2 linked regions of the Lonchura striata genome follow. The protein of the gene in region 1 interacts with the protein of each later gene in a pairwise test. Links are inferred from orthologs where the notes say so. Each region holds a gene or a part of one and is shown in the gene's direction. Other genes may lie near its edges.

What was found.
Region 2: the proteins of SPRY2 (region 1) and ZDHHC17 interact in binary tests that used the Homo sapiens proteins (3 or more experiments, as listed by UniProt). The link is inferred for Lonchura striata from reciprocal best matches to the Homo sapiens genes SPRY2 and ZDHHC17.

The regions. Positions count from the first base shown.
Region 1 is NC_134604.1:47,462,139-47,474,428, forward strand, and holds the start of SPRY2 (protein sprouty homolog 2), read left to right. Parts: upstream 1-6,184; 5' UTR 6,185-6,201; intron 6,202-6,431; exon of another isoform or gene 6,432-6,448; intron 6,449-6,821; 5' UTR 6,822-7,649; intron 7,650-11,643; 5' UTR 11,644-11,694; coding exon 11,695-12,290.
Region 2 is NC_134607.1:47,182,550-47,195,567, forward strand, and holds the start of ZDHHC17 (palmitoyltransferase ZDHHC17), read left to right. Parts: upstream 1-6,819; 5' UTR 6,820-6,885; coding exon 6,886-6,948; intron 6,949-13,018. UniProt on the Homo sapiens protein: Palmitoyltransferase that catalyzes the addition of palmitate onto various protein substrates and is involved in a variety of cellular processes.

The DNA.
Region 1 (12,290 bases):
AAAGGTAAGGCAGGCAAAGACAGAAGCAGGAAGGAGAGCGGAGGAAATTCCAGTTTCTATTTCATTGACTTGCCTTCAGAACCAGCCTCTGCAATGCTAAATCCGAGAGGGTCTCAGCAAAAGGCAGCCCTCTTCCCTCCTGCCTCCCTCTCACCACAGAGAAATGCTTTCCCTCTCCTAGACCTTTTTACTGCAGAAAAAATCCTTGGGTTTGAAGTTGGGCTGAATGAAGATTTTGCCTTTGCAGCTTAAGCTCCAGCTTCGACCAAACTTGAAAGTACAACTACTAGCCTGGGCTGTGGCCCAGCATCTACCATCTGTACATATAATTTTACATATTTACATATATTGTCTAACTCTGCAAATAATTTGTCCTCACGGAAGTCAAACTTTACCTGATGCAAAAGCTATTCAGCTAAATAAATGTTGTTGCCTTTATATCTATTGTCTACATTGGGATTATAGATAAGGTGTTAACAGAAATTTCCTTAGCTAAAATGAATTTTATAGAGCCATAATTTGTGTCCCTGTGGAGAAAACAAATCTACGGAGCTAAGAAAGAAAATGGAAATTGAACCGCACATATTTTCGAAAACACAACTGCTTTGACACAACGTAAACCGTCAGAAATGGGTATAATTTATGCCAATTTGAATTGCTTTGTGAGTAAGCAACAATAAGAAAACTTAAAATATGTTAAACGGTTTAAACACTTAACCTCAAGAATGAAGGAAGTTTTCCAGTGGGCTTATTTTGCAAGCTTGTTCTGTCAGATGCAGTGGATTTATTGTCTGTTTGTAATGCTATTTCCAATGCTTCCTTTAACTTTCATTAATTAGAAGACCATCCTTGGAGCTGCTCTGGACAGCTGGATTCCCTTCTTGGCCTGGAGCACGTAAGACTTTCACTCAGGCTCCAGAAGGAGTCAGGGGCTTATTTAGGAGGAACAGCTCCAAGATTCAGCTTCTCTGTTAATTTCTGCCTTTTTATCTATGGGACTTTTGTAAGTAATAGACCTGCTTAAAAGAAAGATGATTACAAAACCACAAATGAGATAGGAGTAACTACACCAGATGCAGAGATGGAAGTTTAGAGGAACTCTTTAATCAAGGGGTGGGAGTGCATGCTCCTGAAGAGATAACCTTGTTTAGATAACCAAACATTTTGTCCTCTTCTCTCTCAAAGTAAGAAAATTGTCTAACAGTTCATACTTTTTTAAAGTGTTCTGATTCTATCAGACACAGCTTCTGAAATTTTGCTTGTGAAGAAAGACTCTGGAGGTCAGAAGGAAATGAACACCTTGGGCAGCATGTACATAGCACAGAGACTGAACTGGGACCTGAGAGTCCTAGTCCTTGCTTTTGAGATAAGTTACCTCTTTCTTTCTTTCCTGTTTTTTCTCACCTCTAAAACGGGCAGTGACATCTCCTGAAAACTAGTCTGAGATCTGTGGAAAAAACTGTGATACAATATCTAGCAGTTTAATTACGGTCATTGATATTGCTATTATAATCAGGGGAGAAAAAGACAGTACAGATCTGGGTCAGGGTATCTGCAATTTTTATTTTTTTAATTGATGTAAGCACATAAACAGCATTTCAGTTTGATTGTGTTCTGATTTTCAGACAAGTGATAGGGAAACACCAGTTTTTATTTTCCTTTTTGTGCAAAATTCATTAATCTCCAGTAAAATATTCTGTCCTGCATATATCACCTCCACTTTCAGGATGTACTTGTCTTGTCTGCTTATATTCAGATGAACACAAGTCTTTCACATCTGAGGAAAATAAAAATAATCTCAGTAAATAGGATAAACATTATACTTTTTTAAAAAACATTTGCTCAATCTGCTTCCTTTTGTTTCTAGCAAAATCTTTAACTCTGACTTGTACATATTCCTTGAGTGACATTCAAGATTTATGTTACAAATTGTTAATCTTTAGGAGTATTTTTTGAACTCCAGCCTCCAATGCAAAAAAACACCTTATGTTCTGGGAGCAAAATGGCCATCACAGCATGGAGGTCCATTCAGGCTACCTTGTACTTCTGAGAAGAGCAGGCTTCTTCCAATTCCACTGCTCACAGTACCAAAGATATTAATTTACCTTTCTACTACATCGCAATTTAGAGCTAGTTCAGGTATCTCTACATCAGTGTTTTTTTTCTAACTGTGATCTGTGAATTCCTATCAAACACTTCTAAATGGGAGGTCTCATTATTTACAATTTTCTAAAAATGTTTGTGCTTCCCTTATTTTTTTTTCTATCCTAAAGCATAGAAAAAGTCTACAGATTGAAGAAATTTGAAAACTGCTGCTGCAAACCACAGCAGAGATGTGATAAGTCTCTTAATAAAACTTTCTTTCAAATTTCCCATAATGTCTAACATTGACCTCTTCCATTTCTTCTGAGTCACTTTAATCCCCGGTCAACACATAAATGTCTGCATCCTGCTACAAAATATTTTGGGAATTCCCAAACTAGTGCTTATTAACATTTTAATAGACTATTGGTTGATTTTGCATAAAATTCTAGTAGAGTCAAGCCCAGTATTATCTAGCCTCTAACTGCATGAATCTAGAAAGTGCAGTGTTTCAAACACTAACAGACGGAGCCTATACACCATAAAAAGCCTGATATAATACCAGTTTAGCAAATAAACTTCACTTAGTCCCAATCCATGCTAAATTGTCCCACTTATGAACATTGGGTGTCAGGGTATTTGAGAAGAGAAATTATAAAATGCATTGTATAAGCTAGAAAGGTTTATAAAGTTGAATTTAAAAAAAAAACAGTGCTGATTTAATCAAGACACAAATATAACCAAATAACATTGAATGACACATCAAAGAGCATACTAGCTTTATTAGAACAATTTACATGCAAAAGCTCCACGTTATATTACTAGTACTAAATGTATGTATACTTCAGTATAATTTCAGAAGGTACAGGAAAGGGATTTGTTTATTCTTTAAGTTTACATAAGTATATTTGTTATTCAAGAAAATATCCTCTGGCAACTGTCCCTCTATATACTGAGGCAATCACCAGATGGAATAAAGTTACACAAGATCTGGCCTATATCATCTGTAAGAAAGATGTCTATCATGAGCTAGATCGGAAAATAATAGTTTAATTAGAGAAAATCTGGGCATCACTAAAAGCAGGAGACTAAATCTCTGAGCAGCTGAGGAGCTTGTGCATTCCCAAGCAGAGTGGCAGGTACCAGTTCTTTCACATGTAACAGTGCTGATCCTTGTCCTACCAGACCGTGTTCATTTCCCCCCTTTTTCTCAGGGAAGAGAATTCCAGGATTTCCTTCAGGTAAACTACAACAAAAATTGCAAAAGGAAAACTAACAGTACTGAGTCGAGGACCTAATTTTCTTTATAAGTTTTCAGTGCAATGTGTTTGACTTCTTTGTTTCTCTCTATGATTTATCTAAATGGCCTTATCTGCCCTGAAGAACCTCAATGAAATATCGGTAGGCAAAGAAAGCTTTACACTTTTAAAAAGCTCAGTAATTCCTTTATGTACTTTAGCTTATTCAGAGTCACAAAAACGGAAGATAATCAATTAAAGGTTTAAGTTTTGATGGAACTTCTGGACATTAGAAGTAATGTGCAGCCAATCTTAGTCCTTTTAGGATGTGTAGAATCAATATTCCCATATCATTGCATTAACTCCTGAGATAATGCATGAAATGTTCTCAAAGTCAGCAAAGTACTGCACTTTCATTCCCTTGCAGGAAGAATTCCTTATGAATGAGCTGTCCTCCCTTTTCAAAGTAAAGGGGGAAACCACTTGTTTCTGGTTCTGGTCTGAAAATCGAATCAATCAAAAATTTGTGGGATAATTTCAGGATGAAGCAGAAAAGTTTCAGCTATTTTATATGGGTGTCTGTCAAGTCATACAGTTTTCAAATCTATATACACCATTTTTAACCTGAAGCCATTGGAATTGCTACTATTCAAATAGCTCATGAACATACAACACTTACACACATATAAATATATGTGTATGTTGGTGTGTACACAAATATGTATCTATACAACAGTTACATTTCCCTGCTGAGAATAAACTCAAGAACTTCATCTCAAAAACAAGGTCTGCTTGGGTTAAAAGCAAAAAAAAAAAAAAAAAAAAATCAAAAAACCACACAAAACACACAAAAAACCTAAAAAACACCAAAAAAAATCATGCAGTAATTAGAGCAAACCACTAGGGGAAACATAATCACATGCATTAAGCCACTCTCTGCAACAAGAAACGTGAGTGAAACATGTAATCCTCCAAAAGCTTCTTCCAAGGTGCCATCAGATTAAAACTGAGAAATCAGCGTCGAGGTTCCAACATGAACCCAAGCACACGCACAAAAATGAGCACATTTAATTTTCTGCAGATTTGTGCACTGTTATTTACCTTTGTGCCAGTTAGCGCACAAATCTTTGCAAGTTTAAGGCTTCTCTTTCAAACTCATCAGTACCAGGATGCTGTATTCTTGGGGGTTTTGCTGGTTTTATTTTTGGCAGGTTTTTTTTGCCTTTTTTTTTTTAAGCTATAACACATTGATGCTTCACCATTTTGCACACATGACTGCCTCTGTGAATAAAAATCCCTGTTTTGAGATCTGTCTTTGAGACTACTCTCTGTATTAAGTGTATGCACCTGTATGTGAGAACTGGAGTGGGAATTGATGATTCCACTACTGACCGACAGATTTAAAAATGGTGTTATGAACTTTCCAGTTTAAAACATTATTTATGTACTCAATATAAACGATAAAAAATACTTTAACAGACCTTTCCCGTGTGTATAGGTTTGCACAAAAATTTCTTATTTTTGACTTTGCTATGTGGGAGGAAGTATTTTTGTCTTCCTACAGTGAGGGGAATATTGTGTTTTCTGTTTCCCAGATATTTTAACCCATCCTTGTCTCTCTCAGCTGAACACCGTGGATTGCCTTGCTGACACGGGGCGTACAGCCTACACACAGGGCACATCTCCGAGGATGCTCATGACGCATGACGCCAGGCCGCTGGGTGCCCCCTTCCGCGGGGGAGCTCCGGGCAGGCCCGCGGCTCCCTCCGGCGCTGCCCGGCGCCGGGGCTGGTGCCCCCGCGGAGCCGCCCTGACCCGCTGCCCCCCGCCCCGGCGCCGCGCTCCCTCTGGCGGGGAGAGCGGCCGCGCCGCCGCCGCTCCCCGAGCCCGAGGGTAACCCAGCCGCACCGGGCTGCGGCTCCAGCGAGGGGCAGCCCCCGCCCCGGCGGGAGAGCGCTCCGTCTGCGGGACCGGGGGTCGAACAGGGTGGAGAGGGGATGGGTGGTCGGGCTGCAGCAGCTCTGTGCAGGCTAGGGAGCGATGGAGCTTGAAAGGAAAAAAGCGAGCCCCGTTTAATTCCGTCTGACCTTACTGTCACCCAAGTATGGAAAATAGTTTGCAGGTTCAGAATATTACTGTGGAAGAACGGATACTTGAGCATAAAACCACGAAAACTCGAAGGCCGTCCATGTGAGACACGACCCTCATTTACACGTTTTCGTGGGGAATGTCCACCCCCTCCACAGAGCAGTGACCAGCAGGTGTAGGAGAGCAAGTGCCTGCAAAATCGCCTCGAGTAGTAGAGGGCTGGCTCGGGCTTGCACCGAGGGTTGTCCAGCGATTGCTGCCTTACACCCGGTGTGTATTTTAAGCAGTGCCGCATGTGACACGGGAACATTCGTGCTCGGTGCGTGCCTGCCGGGGACAGGGGTGCGCGCACAGTTACGTGCCGGCGCAAGATGCCCGCGTCCAGCCAGCCACAGTGGCCCCGTCAGTACTTCCAGCTCGTACCAAAGGGACCGAGCTGTGGTCGTGTCAGGAAACGCCCAGAAGACAAATAGTCACGTTCGCGAGCTGCTCGCAGACCGTGTCCTCCGCACGAATGGCAACTGACTAAAATAAAGCTGGGGGGAGGGAGGGAGGGAGGACTTTGAAGGGTTTTTTAACTTATTGGAAAAGAACTCCACGCATCCAGCACCCCCACGCACAGGCGAGGGGACCCCGCCGGTGCCAGGGACGCGGCGCACCCCGCGGGCAGGCGCCCGAGCGCGGGGACTGCCGCCCGCTCCGCGCCCCGCGGGCCCCGCTCCGCGCTCCCGCCCGGGCACGGGGGCGCCCTCCGCGCCGCCTAATCGCATTAATCCGCGGGACAATGCCCCAAGTAATCACCCTTCCTGCTCCCTGCGCTGCCGGCGACCGGCGGCTGGAAAGGGCGAAGCGGGGGAGGGGAGGGGCAGAAAGTGTAAACTTTTATTCCACTCGGTTAAGAAAAACGGGTGGGAAGCAACGGGGAGCACTTGGATACAGGTCTCCCGAACGCTCGCAGCGGCGGGGAGAGCGCGCCTTCCTCCCCGCGAGAAGCGAGTTCCCCTCGGTTTCCCTGCAAACCTATCGCCGCCTGCCTCTGAGTAAATACACGAGCACAAAAGCAACCCCGAGCGGCGTGAGACCGCGCACGGAGCAGCCTCCCGTGAGCACAGGCTGCGGCGAGGCCCCAGGAGCGCGGCTGCAGCTCGCCCCGCGCAGCGCGGGGAGCGCCGCGGACGGGCCGGGGCCGGGGCCGGGCCGGGGCCGGGGCCGGGGCCGGGGCCGGGGCCGGGGCCGGGGCCGGGGCAGCAGGGCTGGCTCGGCGGCGGCAGCGCTACCCTTTTGAATGCCTCCCGCAGCTCTGAGTGCTGGCAGGGCGCTGAGAGCGCCAGTGAATGTAGCCCCGCAGAGCCAATGAGCTGGGACCGGATGCGATATATCCTCTGGGACAACAACTGCTCTGTTCCTCCTCAGATCCACATGACGCCATTTACTGCTGCTTTTGCAGAGAGATCACCCTACCTCCTCCGGAAAGAAAAAGAGAGAGAGGGAGAGAGCGAGCGAGCAGAAAAACGTCGAGTCCCTACAGCTCAGATCTCAAATCTTCCTCCTCCTCCTCCTCCACCTCCTCCAAACACACAACAACAACTACCACCACAAATCCGCTGCGCTCCCAAAACACCCCCCCGATTGCAAACCACAGAACTGCCTGCAACACACACGCTCGCAGAGGGAGCGAGAAAGCTAAGAGGGAGAGAGGGGAGAGGAGCCTGCAGCAAGCAGCTTCTCAGGAGAACGGCTACATTGCACAAGCTGCTTTTTTGGAGGAGCTCAGTGGAAGAAAGCTCTGGGATTTTATTTTAGATCCACTTTGTTTTGTTTTCTTTGGCTTTTCCCTTTCCTCTTGAATTTGCAACAGCAACAAAAAAAAAAAAGTGACTTGGTATTGGCGATTCGGCCTCCTGTTCATTGAGGAAAAGAAAGGAAAGTGTGTGTGTGTGAGACTGAGTGATTTTTAGGAGCAAAGAAAACCCACCCCGATCCGGAGAGGTGTTTTGATTATTATTATAGTATACACACACACACACGTATTTATAATCGATCTGGGGAAAGGCACCTAACTTTGATCTGGACTTTTTTTTTTTTTTTTTAACATGGTGATCATTCTTACTCTAATTTGCAAGTCGGACTAAAGCAGAGCTTGGAAAAGAATTTTTTTTTGCTTTAGGGCTGGATTTATTTGCAAACCGCAGGAAGAAGAAAATACAAGAGAGAGGGGTTTGGTGCAGCGCCGCGATCACGGTGAGAGCCTTTTCCTTCTTTGCAAAACAAGCTTTTCAGTAACCTCCTTCTCTCCCCCCCCCCCCCCCCCCCCACCCACCCCCGCTTTGGTTGCTCCAAGAAAACTCGTGGAAATGTTTGAGGCCGATCCCTTTTCCATTCGTACAGGTTCTCCCTCTCCCCCCCTTCCCTTCTCCTTCCTTTCTCAGAGAGGAGCTGGAGGTGGGATTTCGGAGCGGTTTTTCTCCGGGGAGGGGTGGGGGGAGCTCCGTGGGGTTTGCGGACTGCGCCCCGCCGGGGTGCCCTGGGGGTGCGGAAGGCTGCGCAGGGGGCGGAGGGCTGCGCGGGCGCCTCGGAATGCCTGCGGGGCTGCGAGTGGGGCGGGGGGTGCGCTGCAAGGAACCACAGCTCCGGCGTGTTCTGGCTGCTGCGGGGGGCCGGGCACGGGAGATCCTGCGCGCTCCTGCCTCGCTGGGCACGCGTGGGTTTCCGACAAGCCCCGGGGGAGGTGAAGGGAGAGCGCAGCGGGGCTGGCGAGCGTCGGGGCTGTTTGTCCCCCGGTTTTGGGGAGAAGGAGCAACCCGCCTTTCAGTGCTTGATTTACGCCTGTCTGTAGTGGCGTCAGGAGATCCGTGCGATTCGGAAGTGAGTGCACGTCTGGTACAAATATATACGTGTGTGTGTGCGTGTGTGTAAGTTTAGATATTTCTCCTGTGATGAAATTAATTCGATCTGTAAGACGAGGAAAGTCCTTCTCTAGGTTCTTCTATGCAGAGGGCGTGTGTGGACGGGAAGGAAAAGCCATAATTTTTTTTTTTTTTTTTTCTGTGGGCTTACTTAGTGACAGCCCCCTTCCCCTATTTAAAACTGAAAAAAAAAATAAAATAAAGGAAAAAAGAAAAAAAAAAAAAAAGCTGCTGGTGTTTTCAGCAAGCTGTTTGTGTGTCACTTTGCCCCACCCCGATGGTAAAGTCCCTTTTGCCCTAATCCATAGTCTGATCACACACTCGGTCCTTAATGGGGGTTTCAAAGCACTTTGAAAGAAGAGGAGGTGGTTGGTGTGTGTGCGGTGGGAATGGGGGTGGGGGTGTCTTGCACAGGCTCCGGCCACAAAACAGAAATTCACGGGCAGGGGACTTCTCTCCCTTAGGCTTCGCCCTTCCCCGGCCAGCGGTACACGGGATTTTTCCACAGCGCGCAAGAAACCCCTCGAGTTTTAAACCTCCCCAAATGTGCCGAACGCGAAACTCGTCTCCCTCGCTCACCCTTTTGCCAAGCCCAGCTTGAAAGAAAAGTTAGCAATCCTGGCACTTGAGTTCGGTGAGAGTGGACTTTGGCTCTTAGAAGTGGGGAATCGTGTTATCACGCACATGCACACACAAAAAGGCAAATCTGCTTCTCTTGCTCTTGGCGGATGCAAAGGAGAGAAGTATTAGGTCAGAGGAGGGAGAGGTATGCCCTCCTGTCAGGATTTTCAAGCAAATGTAGGTGAAAAAGAGATTTTTGAGGTTTGCAAATAAATGTGCTGGTTCTTTGCATCCTGTCCTGTTAGCGGATCTATGACGGGGATAAAAAAGGGGGAGCACCCTGCTCGGTCTGATGCCCCCACTGGAAATGCCTCCTGGGTCCCTCCGGGCTGGGGCGGAGCGGGGCGGGCTGAAGGTCAGGCAATTTGCAGAATATGCGTAAAATAAGAGGAGCTTTTCCAGCGGCTGGCTTTGTGAAGTTGAATGGGTGTTTAGCGCAAGGCGAGAGGGGGTAATCTGCCTTTTGCCCAGCTGTCCCGGAGGTGTTGTCTGAACCGTCTGCAGGGCGCCTGGCACTTCCCGGGAGGGGAAGCTCCTTTAGCATCTCCTGAGGGAGGGCAGGGGGGAAGAGTTTAAAGGAAACATGGGTTTGACTTTCTGATAAGGCGACTGAAGCAGCCCCCTCCCACCTCCCAGCCTAGAGGATGTCTCCTGGTTATCTCCAGGTTGTCTGCACTCTCCGGCGGGCGAGGGGCTGTCGCCTCCCACCTGCTGCGCGCCCCCCGCCCGAGACGGAGCTGGAGGCGGGGAGGGAAGCGGAGAGCGGAGGCTGCTTTTCCAGCTCCCACCTTGGCGTCTGAGGGGGGCTCCGCCACCGATCCCGGGGTCGTCTGAAGCGCCTTCAGGTCAGGGTCAGCTTTGCTTTTGCAGTGGGTTGTCATTTCTGGAGAATCAGCCCGGCGTACCCTCCAGGCTGGCTGGGGCTGGTGGAAACCTGGACGTGGAGGAGAGATAGGGCTGCCAATTCCTCTCAAGAATGGGGAAAGCATTTTAGTTTTTATTATTTTTTTATCTCCAGATAGTTTCAGAGGAGTTGAACATCTACTTGGGCTGTTGGTTGAAACTTTTGGTATGGCAGAGGTTTTAATTTGAAAAAAAAAAAAACAAAACCATAAGCAGTGCTTCAAGCCAAGTTTGCAAGACTTTTTTCTGGGGGTGTAGGGTGGGGGGGGGGTGGTGAAATGAGCACCGTAACATACATCCTGTGTCCTAAACCAGGATTTGACAATATTTAAAATAAGTGGTTACTCTTAAAAGTTAGAGATTTGTCTATATGTTTTTGTTTGGGTTTGGTTTTTTTTTAAGAAAAAAAACACTTGAAGCAGGGGAGCCAGGAGTTAAAAGGTTAAATGTTTTGCATTGATGTTAGAATAACGAGTGTCTTGAGATACTCTTTGTTAAACTGTTTGGCTATATTTTACTATACTGCAGTACAGTATTATTGTTGGTAACTGATGTGTACAGAGTAACACTATGGTGCTCTTTCTAGGTATAATTGAAGACATTGTGTGGTCCTTTTAAGAAGTTTGGTTCCTGCTTGGGTTTTAATTGTAGAATATTGTTCTGGATTTTTGTATAGGTAATTGGATTTTAGAGCCACTTTAAGATATGATAAAGGCAAAACAAATATTAACTAATTTAGAAGGCAGTACTTGAAATTTGAGCATATTTGAGTGTGGAAGCTATTTATGAGTTCTCATCTTTGTCTTTTACTGGCTTTTCATTTAAATTCTAAAGTCTGCATTTCTACTTTGTAGTTAACAATAATTTCAATTAATATTCATAATCAAGTAGGCTTCTTGGATGCTGACATTATTTGATTATGTTATGCATGCCTCTATCCCACAATCCACTCTTGATAATATTTACAATTTGAAATGTAGTCTATGGAATTTTTTACACATTAAAAAAATAACAACCAAACAACTGTGGTAACATTGCTTTTGTAGTTTTGAGCCTTAAAATAACAATCACAGTGGTGTGCAACAGTATGACACACACTAAAATACTGGAGAGAGATATTTTTACTTGTGCTGTTGAAGTTTTTGGTAGCACTAACTCATTTAATGTCTAACCTCAAACATTTTATTGCTATTTAGTGTTTTTCTTGGGACCATTGGTATTAAACTAAAATTTCCTATTTACATCATGTAAAGTTTAATGTGTAAAGAGACTAGCCTACCAAAATATTATCCAGTTTTAAACAAAATTGGAGAATTATATGTCTGTCATCAGCAGGTCACATTACACTTGCTAAATACTTGCAGGATAGTTTGTTGGTTTTGTTTTTTTTTTTTTGAGTATAAGGTTTTCAGTAGCCTGATGTGAAAAGAAGTGTCACTTCAAGTGGTTGAAATGTAATCACTTTAAAGGCCATGGTCTAACCAGAAGATGACCTGAGAAGCCTCAGTTAGCAGGACTAATACCTAGACTTTCCAGAGCCACAAGTTAAGTTGCATGGTCCTAGGAAAGAATCCTAGGGATTCTTAAAAGTCTTTAAGATCTCCACAGCAGTAGGCAAAACAGGCCAAGGGAATTTGGTCACTCAGCTGTCTGGTGCCAGTGCTTGTTCCAGACGTGACTCCTTTTTTTAATGGCTGATGCATTATTTGATTGTCTGCGGTGCTGTGGGGTCCTCCAGGCTTGAAAAGCTGCTGGAGAGAGCGTGAGACATGTTGCAATACTGAATCCTCTCTTTTTTGCTCCAGGATTTCAGATGTGTTCTAAGCCTGGCGGGGTGAGCAAGCTTCTGGGCAGTGATGGAGACTCAGCACAGCAGTGGGTCGCAGCCCTTACTACAGGCTCGGCGTGACAGTGGGAGACCGCACGGGGAGCCCGACCTGCGGGATGTCCTGATGCAGCAGGTTCACGTCTTGTCGTTGGACCAGATCAGAGCCATCCGAAACACAAATGAATACACAGAGGGACCTACGGTGGCTCCGCGGCCAGGGGTCAAATCGTCTCCTCGGGTGACAACCCAACCCAAAAGTGAAAGGCCTCATGGGTTGCCTGAGCATCGTCATTTCAGCCGGATCCAGCACACACAGACGCACTCATCTCCTCGAGTGCCTCTGTCCCGGTCCATCAGCACAGTCAGCACAGGCTCACGGAGCAGTACGAGGACGAGTACAAGCAGTAATTCGTCAGAACAAAGACTTCTGGGATCGTCTTCGGGGCCAGTTGCTGATGGGATAGTCCGAATGCAGCCTAAGTCTGAGCTCAAGTCGAGTGAGCTGAAGCCACTGAGCAAAGAAGATTTGGGAGCACACAGCTACAGGTGTGAGGACTGTGGAAAGTGTAAGTGTAAGGAGTGCACTTATCCAAGGACCCTCCCCTCATGTTGGATCTGTGACAA
Region 2 (13,018 bases), on another chromosome or scaffold:
GATTATACCAACTATGCACCTCCTATACATTTTGATGTCTTTTATGATTCCCAAGCATACCATCTAAACATACAACTTTCTGAACTCTAGGCTTGGAGTTCACAGCATGATGTTTAATATGGTGTATTGAATATTAGGGCTGTTTGAGTTTGCATTTCAGATTAGCCATTTGCATCCAAACCTTATGAATGTTTGATGTATTTTATTTACTTTATTATTTTAAAAACTGGTTGTGGGGATTATTTCTTCATTTGGTTATACCTTCAGTATTCTGGCAGTCCTTATATTAATCTAATAAAGGAATTTTCCCCCACTGTATCAATGAGTCAGTGGAAGAGGTTGCTGCTCTGTATCCTTGCTTAGTCAAGGGCAGAAAACTGCTACCACTCTTTCCCATTAAAACAGAGACAAAATTATATTGGCCCCTATGCTTAGAGTACTTGCCTGTGTACGACCATTATTAATTCACCTTAAATTCAGCAAAAACCTACACAAGATGGTAATTTATTCAACATTTTCCATCACAATTTTGGAAGTTTTTCATAAGTGCTGTTGGCTCATTTTGTCTGTCCTTAATTCCAGTAATAAAATAAATCTAAAATACCTGCATGGCATGATGCAAGGACTTCAATAAGACAATTAATTGTTCTCTACAAAAAAACCTCAAACAAAACCAGCCATAGAGAATTTAAACATCTCCCATGGAAAGCAGATATTCACCCCTGAGGTGATCAGGCAGTTGGACTAGATGATTATTGTAGGTCTCTTCCAACTGAGCCCTTCTCATCTCTTGCTCTTGTCTAATATCAGAAACTTTCTGGATTTAATATTTCACTGTTTTTTTTACTACATTTGATAAAGTTTACCTCTTTTATATTTTTTTTCCTGTACTATTCCTTTTTTCTCCTCTTACATGAAAGCAAAGTACCTTTCATGCTCAATGAATGAGCAGGTCCATCCCTGGCAATACACCTCCCGTGACAATGGGCTCTACATATTCGCTGCCATGACCATGATGACAACAATTCCTGAAGAGGATTATAAAACAGTCGTAATCTAGGACCATGCTATGTATAGAAGTGTCTAATTAATTTATGTTTGGATATCAACTTGGTTACTGAAAATTATTTTAATGCAGCTAGAAAATTCTCATTTTTAAGGGGGAAGGGTGTTAGTCTACCATGTTTATCAGAGCTTGCTTTATATCTGAGCAGGGAAAATATTTACTTCATTTGATATAAAGTGCCAAAAAGATTTCATCTATTGGCTTTCAACCAAAGATTGTAAATGAAACTCTTAAATGTTATTTTTGTCTTATTTTATCATTCAGCCCCCTTCAAGTTAAATTCCTGAGGATGCAGTACTTCCATAAAACCATTGTTGAATATTTATTGCTTCATTCTCAATGACATCTCTTCAAAATAGTGGAATTACTATTAATTTTATTTTATTGGTTTGTCACTTGTTTTCATTTTGGCAGTGAGTTTCTGCCTCAGCAACTACTGTGTTTCAAAATTTTATTCTTTGGATATATTCTGAACTTTCTCCAAAGACAGCTAGAATAATCAGCCCAACGCACAAGATGTAAAGGAGGTCTGGGAGAGGACAAAGGATAATGAAGATGAAAATAGAAAAGGAAAGAAGTTCATAAAGTGTAATCCAGTCTTCAGTTTCAAGTCTATTCATTATCCTTTACAAATATGGAGCTGTCAGCTGTTGTACAGGGTTGCATCACGGTAGCCCTGGGTTTCCCCAAAAATTGAGTTCAGGCAGATGTGTTAGCAGAACAACCTAGTACACGTGGTATGTTACTGAATGTGCCAAGAACAAGCTCTGGGGGAAGACTCACAGGAGACTAACAGACTTAGGTAAGTTAAAAATTATTTTAGTACACTTATTAGATCTACCTAGTGTAAGTAATGAGAACACTAGGTAATAGCCACTTGGACTGTAACGAGCAAAGAAAGGAGAGATGGTCCTTTGACACAAAGAGAGCAGCAAAGTCATCTATGAGTACGATATGCTATCAAGATCAGATATTTAAAACACAGTGAGTGGGAAACAGAAGTACATCATCTTAAAGGGAGAAAAATGGGAATAAAAAGGGCAAGTTAGATAACCCCACTCATTTTCTGCACTTTTAAATCAATGCAGAATTTGTCAGCAGTGGAATTGCATCAGCAAAGATAATCACCTAGGGAAATAATATGATTGCTTTATGTCACTCAAGGGCTATACATATTTCATGCTAATGAGATTATTTTGACAGAAAAGAAATATACAATAAAATGCAAAACCACAAAAAATGAAAAACAAGGGTGTTATGCTTAGGAGCAGCTTATGCTTAGTGCTTACCTCTCTATGTTCAAATGCTAAGTAATGTTTCTACAAAAAACTCATTTGAAAACAACAGAAGTGACAGAAAGAATCTCTCCAGAAAGAAATATTGGATTCACAGGCTGATGTGCTTACTGTTTTGAAAGCACAATATTTATTTAGACATTTAGGATTCAACAAATACAATTTTTTAATAGATGTCTAGCATCTTGCAGATGGTCCCTGTTTTCTCTATGTGCTTATGTCATCAGCATTATATTTCAATAACTCTATGGGGAAATCTCCCTGAATATAATTTAATACAGGGGTTTGGGATCCAATCATACAGTAGGAAAGCACATGTAGAAAAGGCTCCCTTTAAATGAAATGGGTGACAATTTCACCACTGGAAGGGCATTTCCAGCTTCCAGAAGTCAAATGGAAAGTTTGTTCTCTTAGGGAAAGCGAGGGGGAAATAATACAAATATATTATTTTTCTGATGTTTTATATCAAACATTGCCATTAGGCTTTTCTATGACTAGCAACCTCCTGGACTGTTTCTAAGGGAGCAAGAGGCTATGTAGCCAAAGACTTCCTTAGGCGGAGTCATCCTGTTCCATAAAAGCGCCTATCATTTGCAGACCAGCAGACAATATGGCTTCCTATGCCATCAAAAGAAGCTTGCCCCCAACAGATACACCCAGGAGGAGTAGAGAAGAAGGTGACCTTCTCTTTAGGACCCCTGTCCATACTACACTACAGGCTACACTATAGGCTACAGGGAGGACCCTATGCTACAGGTTACAGGGAGAACCCAGACATTGGATTATAGTTCAGCTGGGATTTCTCATGAGTCCTCTCCTGAACTGCCATGGCTTTCAGCCCAGGATGCTGAAAGCTGAAATCTCACATTACCTTAGAAGAGAGGACTGAAGACAGCAGTGGTTCAGGATTGGACCAACAGTGAGATCTGATGGATTTGCCTTCTAGGACAGTCGCCTCTCTCAAGAGGGCGAGGCAGTCAGTTGGGATCAAAACCAGGTTTAGTCACACAGGTTTAATTCATATCCACACAGCTGTCAGAGCCCTGAGATACTTTAACAGAAGCAGTGCCTGCAGCTACAGGAGGCACTGTATTGAAGAATTTCACTGTCTGATTTCTGTTTTCAATCATGCATATTTAATATTCTCTTAATGTACTTGCTTAGAGAGCATTTTCAGCTGGATTATATTTTTAAAGACAGATTCTGTGGAGCTGTCATGCAAACTCACAGGCTTTCAGTCACCCAAACTGGTCCAAGCTGAGAAGTGGATGTTCTCCATGTCAGAGTGAATGCAGAGAGAAATCATCGACTTTGATAAACCCATGCATAATGACATGTTTTATACATTCATTTTGGTATACACATTTAGATAGGTGGGTGTCATTTCCAATACATAAAGCACAAGGCTCAAACAGTAATAGGATAAGAAAGTGAAGCATAGGTAGAGAATAGTAAATATAATTACTCATAGCTCCTCTGCAAATATACTCAGAGAGCAGGACCATGACATGGCTTCTCCAGGTATTTCAGCCCTTGATAGTGAAGCTAGTTTTCTGGGTCACTATGCAAGTGACAATTATGCAAGAGAAAATTTCAGAGGCACCTCAGTATGGTGGCAAATCCATCTGATGATTTATGAATTAGAATAATATTAACCAAAACGATGTATGAAAAGTAAAGGATATGCACAACTGTTCTAAAGATACACATTTTTGTAGGCTTAGGTAAGGTACTTTTGACTTATTACCTGTTTTTGTACTAAGACATTCTAATATTTTTAATTTAAGTATTGACCTGCCACGAGAATAAACATTTAGCTTTAATTGCAATATTTCATTACAAAGTTAAACATTGTTTATGCACACTTTTAGTTATTTTAAATGTTGATAGCATAATACAAAGCTGCTAATTCTACAAAATATGTGTTAAAAGTCTTTTATTTCACTGTCACATTTCATAGTCTAGTAGAAGACAAGCTAAAAAAGCTGCACAGTCAGGCCTATTACTGAATCATGTGTACAGATGTGTGTTCCATAAATATGTTCTGTCTCTGCCAAAGGGTTTTCTTCCTAATAACTTGTTAAAAAGATAAAATCCATGTTACAGAATGGAGAATCATAAGACTTTGTGCTACTTACTTCCCAGTTTGGCTGTTGTTTGGCTTACCTGAAAATTAAAATGTCTCCAGATCTTATGCCCCTTTTCACAGTGATTAACATAAAACAAAACAAAGCAAGAAAATCTATGTGTCTGTGGTACTGGTGAACAGTTTTCCTTTTGTGAGTATATGACCTAAAATAATTTTCTAGTGTGTATGGTGTTTAACCAATATTACAGACTTGTCCCTATTGCATGCCTAGTTAAGTAGAACTGGATAAAACCTCTTGGGTCAATAGGGAGAGCACTTCACACATCAGCTATGGAGCATTCAATGCAATCACACAGAAGAGCATTTCCTGCCATTGATCAACAATTCCTGGCATTTACAAGGCATCTTTAATCAGAGAGATAAAATTGCTCTGCAATGGTAGTAAATTTCCAGAGTATCCCCCTGAACGAGATGACGAAGTTCTTGATTTACAAGTGAGCTAAGTAAATCATAGAGAAGTGAAATACTTGCCTAAGGTTAGATAGTAATTTTTTTGGCAGAGTCCAGAAACACATCTAACCTTACAGCCTTTTAGATTTGTAGGAAATAGGAGTAAACTTTGTTGCTGTAGCAGATTGTTGGGTTTGTATCTGCCATTTGCTTACACTGCACAGACCACAGCCTCTCTGTAGTGACAATGCAAAACAATGAAGAATCACATTTCCATGTAATTATGTTAGATTGTATATAAAGGGTAGGAAAGGACAGGGAATGCTTGAAGTGTAGAAAACTTTTTAAACTTCTGCTAGCTTTTGAATGAGGAGCTCCAATGCAGAGGCACAGTAGCACAATCCCATATTCTAGTTCTGCTGTTACTTGGTAGTAAAAGGGACACTTGCTCTGAAGAAAGATAATAGGCTGCACATGAACTATACTTACAGATGAGGCCCCAGTTCAAACAGCAAAAATTCTCTGTACAGATATATCTGGGAATAGAATTGGTTTGCACATGTGTAGATCTGTGAAGAACAGGCTATAAATACCTAGACAGATGTCAGAGTATTTGTTTACAATCCGGTTCACAGCTATGGGACAAAGCATAACTTCTTCAGAGTTCCAAGGAAAAATAATCTGAATAGTACAAATACTATGAAGATTTTTAGTTATTTTATCACCCTTGCTTTTATTATAAATAGGAGTGATGAACTGTCATGATTAATAGGATTTCTATTTCTGGAGGTTGTAGGGGGTTGAAAACCCTCTTCCTCATGCAAATCAAATTGCAAATTATATCTAAGCCCTAGTACATTTAATAATATAGACAGTTAAAAAAAGATTCTCTCCTGTATACTCAGTGTCTTGTTCTGCTCTTTTAGCACTTCAGCCCTTATGGTTTCAAATATGTGCTTTGAGACCTGTTTCACACCCCCGCTTTCTAAATCTTATGTCATTCTTCTTCACAATTTTGAATTTAAATCCATTAAAAAAAGACATTTATGGTTTAACATTTTAATAATGCTGCAGTCAGACTTTATTAGTGCTTCTCTGTTACATTTTGCATGAGATAGGAAAGAGTAATGAAGAGAATATCATTGTAGGGTTTTAGGCTTATGAGCTTAATGTATTATGATACAACAAAATGTATTATCCAAAGGTCCCTTTCTCACAAAGGCAAATGAGAGCACCATAGATATAGCAAAATAGAGCAGTAGTCAACGCAGCAATAACATTCCGTAATTGAAAAACCATTTTTGATAAAAATGTAATTTATTAAAATAAAAGAAAGCACTTTAGGATTCCTGATCTTGGCTGTATGCACATTACTCAGCCTGTGAGAATAGAAATGACCAGCTAAACAGAGCTATTTAGTAACTTGTGCCCAAATCCGCAGGCATCTGGGCAGCGCGTGTGTGCCGGGCTGTGAGGAACCTCCGGCCCAGTAGGGCACAAATGGTTGGAAGGAATTGCATCCTCAGGGAGTCCTCAGGACTGCTTCAAACATTCCTGCAGTCGGGAGCAAAAACCTAATTAAAACCTTCTTGCTTTCTTCCCATGCTCTCTTTGCCACTCCAGTAGGCATGAGGGTAACTCCCTACGAAAGATGGACAGAGATTGCTTAGTATGGAACCAAATCCCCATTGCAGGCAGAAGGTGAAGGGCGCTCTTTTCGCTCGCATTCCAACTAGTGAAGAACCTTACTCCTCACTAGGAGTACCTCCGCAAAGCTGCGCTATGCCGGCTGTCGATTGCAGCACGGGACGCACACAGGCACAGGACACACGCTCGGTGTGTCCACGGGCACACCACGAGTGACCCGCACCCGCCCGCCGCGCTCCGTCCCTCCCGCCCGGGCCGCCACAGGAAGCGGCGGCGCGCGGGGGCGCGGCGGGCACGCGCGCTACCCGGCATGCAGCGGGCGCGGGGCTCGCAGGAAGATGGCGGCGCCGCTGGAGGAGTACGAGAAGGAGGCGGGCTGCGTGCCCATCCTGCACCCGGAGGTGCGAGCGGCCCGCCCGCAGGGAGCGCGGCGCGGGAGCGGGGCTCGGGGCGCGGCCGGCTCGGCGTCCCGCCGCGGGGCGGGGGGGAGCGGGCTCGGCGGGCGGGCGGCCAGGCGGGGTGCACGGAGGGCGGGAGGCGCGGCGCCGCCGCCCCCCGCCGCCGGCCTGGGTGTGCGCGGCGGCGGCGGTGGGCCGGGCCGGGCCGGGCCGGGCCGGGCGGGGAGGCGGGTGCGAGTGGCGGGGAGCCGTGCGAGGTCCGCCGCCGGCCCTGCGTGCGCCCTCGCCGGCAGCGCCGCCCGCCCCCGAGCCGGGCGTGAAGCCGGGGCAGAGGCGCCCCGGGCGGTGCCGCGGCTCCGGCCCCTGAGCGGCAGCGCCCGGCCTCGCAGCCCGCCCCGGCCCGGCTGCCGGGCGGGAAGCGCCTCGGAGGAATTAGTGTTTCCCCTTGGGTTTAGATGGCACTGGTCTGCAGCTCACCCGCAGGTCGGGGCTGGTCCCATCCAGCCCAGCGCTCCCTGTGTGGCGTGGGCTTACCTAGAGAGCCAGCGGTCTGTTTTTTTCCAGTGTGTTGACGGTGGGAGGAATGTTTACAGGTAACATTTAGAGGTCGTTTCGTGCCTTTTTTTTTTTTTTTTTTTACCCTTTTGTGCCGCCCACCTTTGTCAGCGGCATGTCTGTATTATTGAGGACTAGTGTGATTGTTTTGTAAGGTATTTTAAACAGTTTAGAAAAGCTGTTACATGCGGACTTGTCATCTGATACGTTAAGGTCTGTAAGAATTGATTTTTTTTCAGCCTACAGAACTGATCAGTGCATATGTCAGGCTCCAGTTTTTGCTAAACAGATGGTGTCTTTTCCTTAAACAGTGTCTTAAAAGGCTGGTGGTGTATTTGATTACTGAAAAGGCTATATAGGCCTCTATATGTGGTCGTGTACCTTACCCTGCTCTACCTCTCTAAACTGTGCTCATGAGTTTTGAATAGACCAGTCTGTTCTGAAAGGTAATTAGCTAGCAATAAACCCCAAGTAAGTGTTTGTTTGTTGTTTGATTTTGTTGTTGTTGTTGGGTTTTTTTGGGATTTATTTTAAGGGATATGAGTAGACTGTTGCTAGACCTTTTTTCAGCCTAACTGGAGTCAGACTAAATGCAGTACCCTCTACAGAGCAGTGTCTCATGATTTTCAGAACTGACACAAGTTTTCAGTAGTGATCTAGTGTAGGATGTTGATGTTCTTTGAAAGAAAGTGTTCTTAAGTTGTGGAAACTTTTGATAGGCAATCTAAGACTGGAAAATGGAATAAAAAGCATTTACAGCTTGTCAGAAATGTATTGTGTTTTAAAGATGGAAGACTAGTGTTTGTTAACTTTGAATACTTACTGTATAGGAAATGAAATTATCTCAGTTTAAATTTGTAGTCTAGCTAGTTAATCTGGTAGAATCTTATACTGTTCCTTTGATGCATAAAGTTGAATGTCTGCACAAAAGATGAGAATGGAAGTTAATATATATTGTGTGCTGTAACATCAACTGGAACATTTTAATATGCAATAAACATCACTAGTTTAGAGGGAGTTTTATTCAATTTTTCCAGAAATGATGAATGTCTGACTAGCTATTACTTACAAGATAGTGTCTGCATGGATTTCAGTGAGTGTTTCCTTATTCCCTAAAGTCTTTGTACTGATAAACTTTGAACGAGAAGGATGTTTTTCATGTAGGTGGTGAGACAGACTAAGTTGTTAACAGACGCTCCAGAAACGCTGTTTGAAAAACTTATGGATTGTGTGCCATAGCAGAGCTGTATTGTCACAGACCTGTCCACTGGACAATGCAGTGCATCTGTGTTCAGTCGTTTTTGAAGGTCAGGGACTCTAATACATGGTGATTTCCACTTTTTAAGAAAGTAGCACCATGTCATTATGTAAGTAGTGACGTTAGAGCATATAATCAGTTTCAACATTTGTGTACATTTAAAACCGATGCTTTTTATAGTGCCGTCAAAATCTTAACTTGTTTTTTTTTTGCTTCATAGTGCTAGTGTTTATTTTTGGTATCTTTCTCAGGTATTTTTTTATGCCTTGCATATGAGGCTTTTGCTTCTTACTGTCTTTTTGTATTGACTAATTTGGATTACTTTCAAATTGTTTGAAGTTTTGTGGTTTTTTTAAGGGATGTGTTTGTTTTATGTGGGCTCTAAAGCTTTGCATTTTGCCATGAAATACTATGAATACAATATTCATGTTGTAGGAAAGAGGTTCTAAAGAATACTGAAATTTACTTAAATACTGTCATGCTGAGAGATTTGTTTATTTATTTATTTGTGGAAGACTCAGTTTGAAGTGATTCAGTAATTTCAGTAAGAAGAGGTAGAAACAAATGCTTTAGGAAACTTACAGTGGGAATGCTTTGAGGGGGTTTGTGTGGTACTGCCCTGAATTCTTGGGCCTTCCTTGCTCCCTCCCTCATGAATGAAAGCTGAACTTGAGTAATGGACTCTTCTTTCCAAGGGTATTTATTCTGCCTTTTGACAAGTTCAGTTTAGTATGACAATGTATATCCTACTTTTCTAGCTGTAAGATTGGTAGTGGAACAACAGAGCTTCTGAAGATAATTTCAGTGGTGAAATACAACAAATAATATTAATTGCACATGTGATACTTGTAGGAGGATCTTATAGTATGTGATAAATGCTTGGAGAATTGCTGCCTAACTGATACATCTTGGAAATAGTTGTTAGGATTATTCCTGAATTTCATTGTTCCTAAAAGTCTTGGAGGAGCTGGTCTACTAGTCTCAGATATTTTCTTTAGTGATTTGGACACAATATCAAAAGTGTCAATAATAAATCTTGCAGACAAACAAGATGAATGGGTACTAAGCAGGGATGATGGAACTGTACAAAACCATCTAGAACTCACATGAAATTATGCTGATAAATCAAGGCACACCTTAAAGAAGCAACATTCAAAGTAGTGCACTGAAGGTAAGAAGCATATGCATGGGATTGTATTCCAAAAGTTATTGACTGATAGGATACAAATATGAACAAGCAGTTCAGCAGAAGTACTTTGTTTAAAAATGTATAAGGAGATGATATTTGGCTGAACATGTGGTAATGCTCGTGATGAAATTTTTTCTTTAAAATATATTAAATAGTGAAGAATATGGGAAAGAATTATAAATTATTTTAATAATGCCTTACAGTATGTAAAAGGCCTGAAAAAGCCCTGTTCACGTTATCTGAAAAAGTGAGAGGTATCTTTTTTGTCCCCCATGTGAATATTTTCTTACTGAAATCCGATGCTTTATTCAGTTTATGCTTAACAAGATCCAGTGACTGGAAAGTGAAGTTGAATGGCATCAAATTGAAAAGCATAAGTGGTAAACTTGGAGGGTGAGTAATCATTGTAGTGAAGGAAGAAGCAGTAGTGGATTATCCAGCTGTTAATGTTTTCAGCTGGAGTTCAAGGATCCTTCTATAGATCCAATGCAAGATTCCACAAATGGATAACTGAGCTGTGTGTCAAATAGGTGAGTATAGAGGAGTGTAGACTGTGTTGGAGTGACTGATTCATAAACATGAATTTTTAGGAATTCTCAGCATGATTGGGAAGTGCATGGTCAACCAAAGGTAGCCCAGTGCATGTTTCTCTCGGAGCGGACGTGGTAGTGGTTGAGCTGCAGTGTGATATGGTGGCTCCATAGTGAGGGTTGCAGAGCGCCCTGCCACGGCAGAGTAACACTGGGCTAAGTAGTCCCTCCCTGCTGGTTTGTTTCATTCCCACAGTGTTTAGGTTTCTGGTGACAAAATAGCAAGCTCTGCTTCCTTTTATACAGTGTAGCCCTGCTATGGGACTGCTGCTCACGCTGATTGTGTTTGTTATCCTCCGATTATTTTAATAGGCCAACAGAACTTCTAACTTCAAATTCCTTGGATCTTCTAAATAAGAGTGAATTCCTGACTTTTCTGTGGTGGGTGGTGATAGGTATGGATGCTTTATTCTCAAATTCAAGTGGCAGGGAGGCAGAAAACTCTTAGAAAATGGATTTTGCTTGTAATGCTTCCTTGTATTTGAAAAATATTCTAGGGCCTAGTATGGCCCTAATGGTCAAAGGTATTGCAGCTGTTGACAGTTGCATCACTTCCTAAATGGTAAGAAGTATTACTGGGAAGGAAGATCTGTTTCGTTACTTCAGTGTAGTTCATTTACCAGTGCCAGGCAGTGTGGGATACATTTGAGAAAGATGGAAGTTACTGTTTATTTAGACACCTCTTGGCATTAAAAAAAATCTTACCCAAGAACAGTCTTCCTGCAAAGTTGAAAAGCAATTTTAACAGTTATGGGCTCTGTTTGGCAGGAATTTTTCCAGATGGAAGCCATCATTCTTACCTTTGTTTCTCTCCTTGTGGTTCAATTTGTAACTATCAAGGAAGTCAGAAGCATGTATGCTTGTATTCCTTGTTGGTGAATTGACGAAAACAAGTAAACCTACTGTGAATAGCTTTGCTCCAATATTTTTCTGTTTGAAATTTCAGTGAAAGGCCCGACTTTACCATCCAGCTCTATTCTCTGTGGAGTTCTGTAGATATTGTTGGTGTTGTACTGGATTGCAGATTATTGTTGATTGTCCTGTATGGATGCAGAACTTACTGTGTTGCTTAGTTAAAATCACTCCAGAGACTAGTCTTGCATTTGTGAGCTCATTCAAAGATCAGGTATCACTTTTTATACTGCTTAGAAAGGACAACAGGACTGCGAAGTCTCACACAAAGTAGCATACTTGATATTGAGGCTTGAGCCTTACTTTGTGTATCTTGGGTAGCTTCAGAGGCTGAAGATGGAGAGGACTGCAGATCTATTCCAACTTTATATTACAGGCTAAAGTTTTTTTAACTAATTCTTTTTCTTTTCAGAGTGCTAGTTATAAAGTAAAAATAAAACAAAATCCTATGTTAATAGATCATATTGCATAACTGGGAAAGTTGCCCTCAAATTTAATTAGTCTGTTTAAGACTTAAACATGTTTCTAGTCTGAATTTAATTTATTTCTGTTCATTACATCTTGCAAGATACCTGTCCAAATATAGGTCTGTCTGTATCTATTTAATATGCTGACAATTATCAGATCCCTACACTACTCTTATGGTCTGCGGTCCTCCTGACCCTTTTGAGTCTCTCGTGTTCATTCGTTCTTTCAGTGTTTTGGTGGCTTTGGTCTCAGTGCAGTAGCTGTTGCAGGAACTTGGGAGCAGTGCTCTACTCTGACTGTGGCAGTAAACACCCTCTGGATGCCCTGTCCCTGGAAGTCTTTAAGGCCAGGCTGGATGCTCTGAGCTCTTGTCCTTGCCCATGGCAGAGGGGTTGAGCTAGATAGGCTTCAAGATCCCTTCCAACCAAGGCGATCCTGTGATTCCTGCTCATCGTTCTCCATAGCTATATTTGCACTAGTCTTGTTGGGAACTGTGTCACACTGGAAACTTGTACTTAGATAATGACAATCCCTTCAAGGTAGTTTCTAGTGTAGGCCTTTATTTTAGATAGGACTTTGCTTTTGTTGGTGTTTTAAAAACCCTAATTTTGTCCTGTCCCAGCGTTCCCTAAGTTGTATCAGAAAGAGAGTATTAGTTGTTCTGCTTTTTCTCTCTCCACACACTCCCCGCCCTCCCCTCCCAGTAAGAATGCTCTCTGTTGTTTACTTCTGGGTTGCAATGATGAAATAGGGTGGGTCAAGGTGCCGCCTCTGAAGGATGCTTGGTGTTTTCATATTGACACTTTTCTGGGTGTTTAAAAATGGGAGCTACTGGAAAAACCAAAATTATTTTTTTTGGAGCATATTCCTTAACTAGGAGAGTAGGTATAATAGTCACAAAGCAAATCATAAGAATAATGCTTGCTCACCTGTAGTTTTTAATACATGCAAAATAGACCACATTAACTTTCATAGTATTCTAATTTCTTAATTAAAATATCAGACACTACTAACTAAAACACTTTGGACATTAACTGTATTTGACCATTGCTACTAATTTATCAAAAGAAAGTGACAGGTTTAATTTCCTGTGAAGCCATG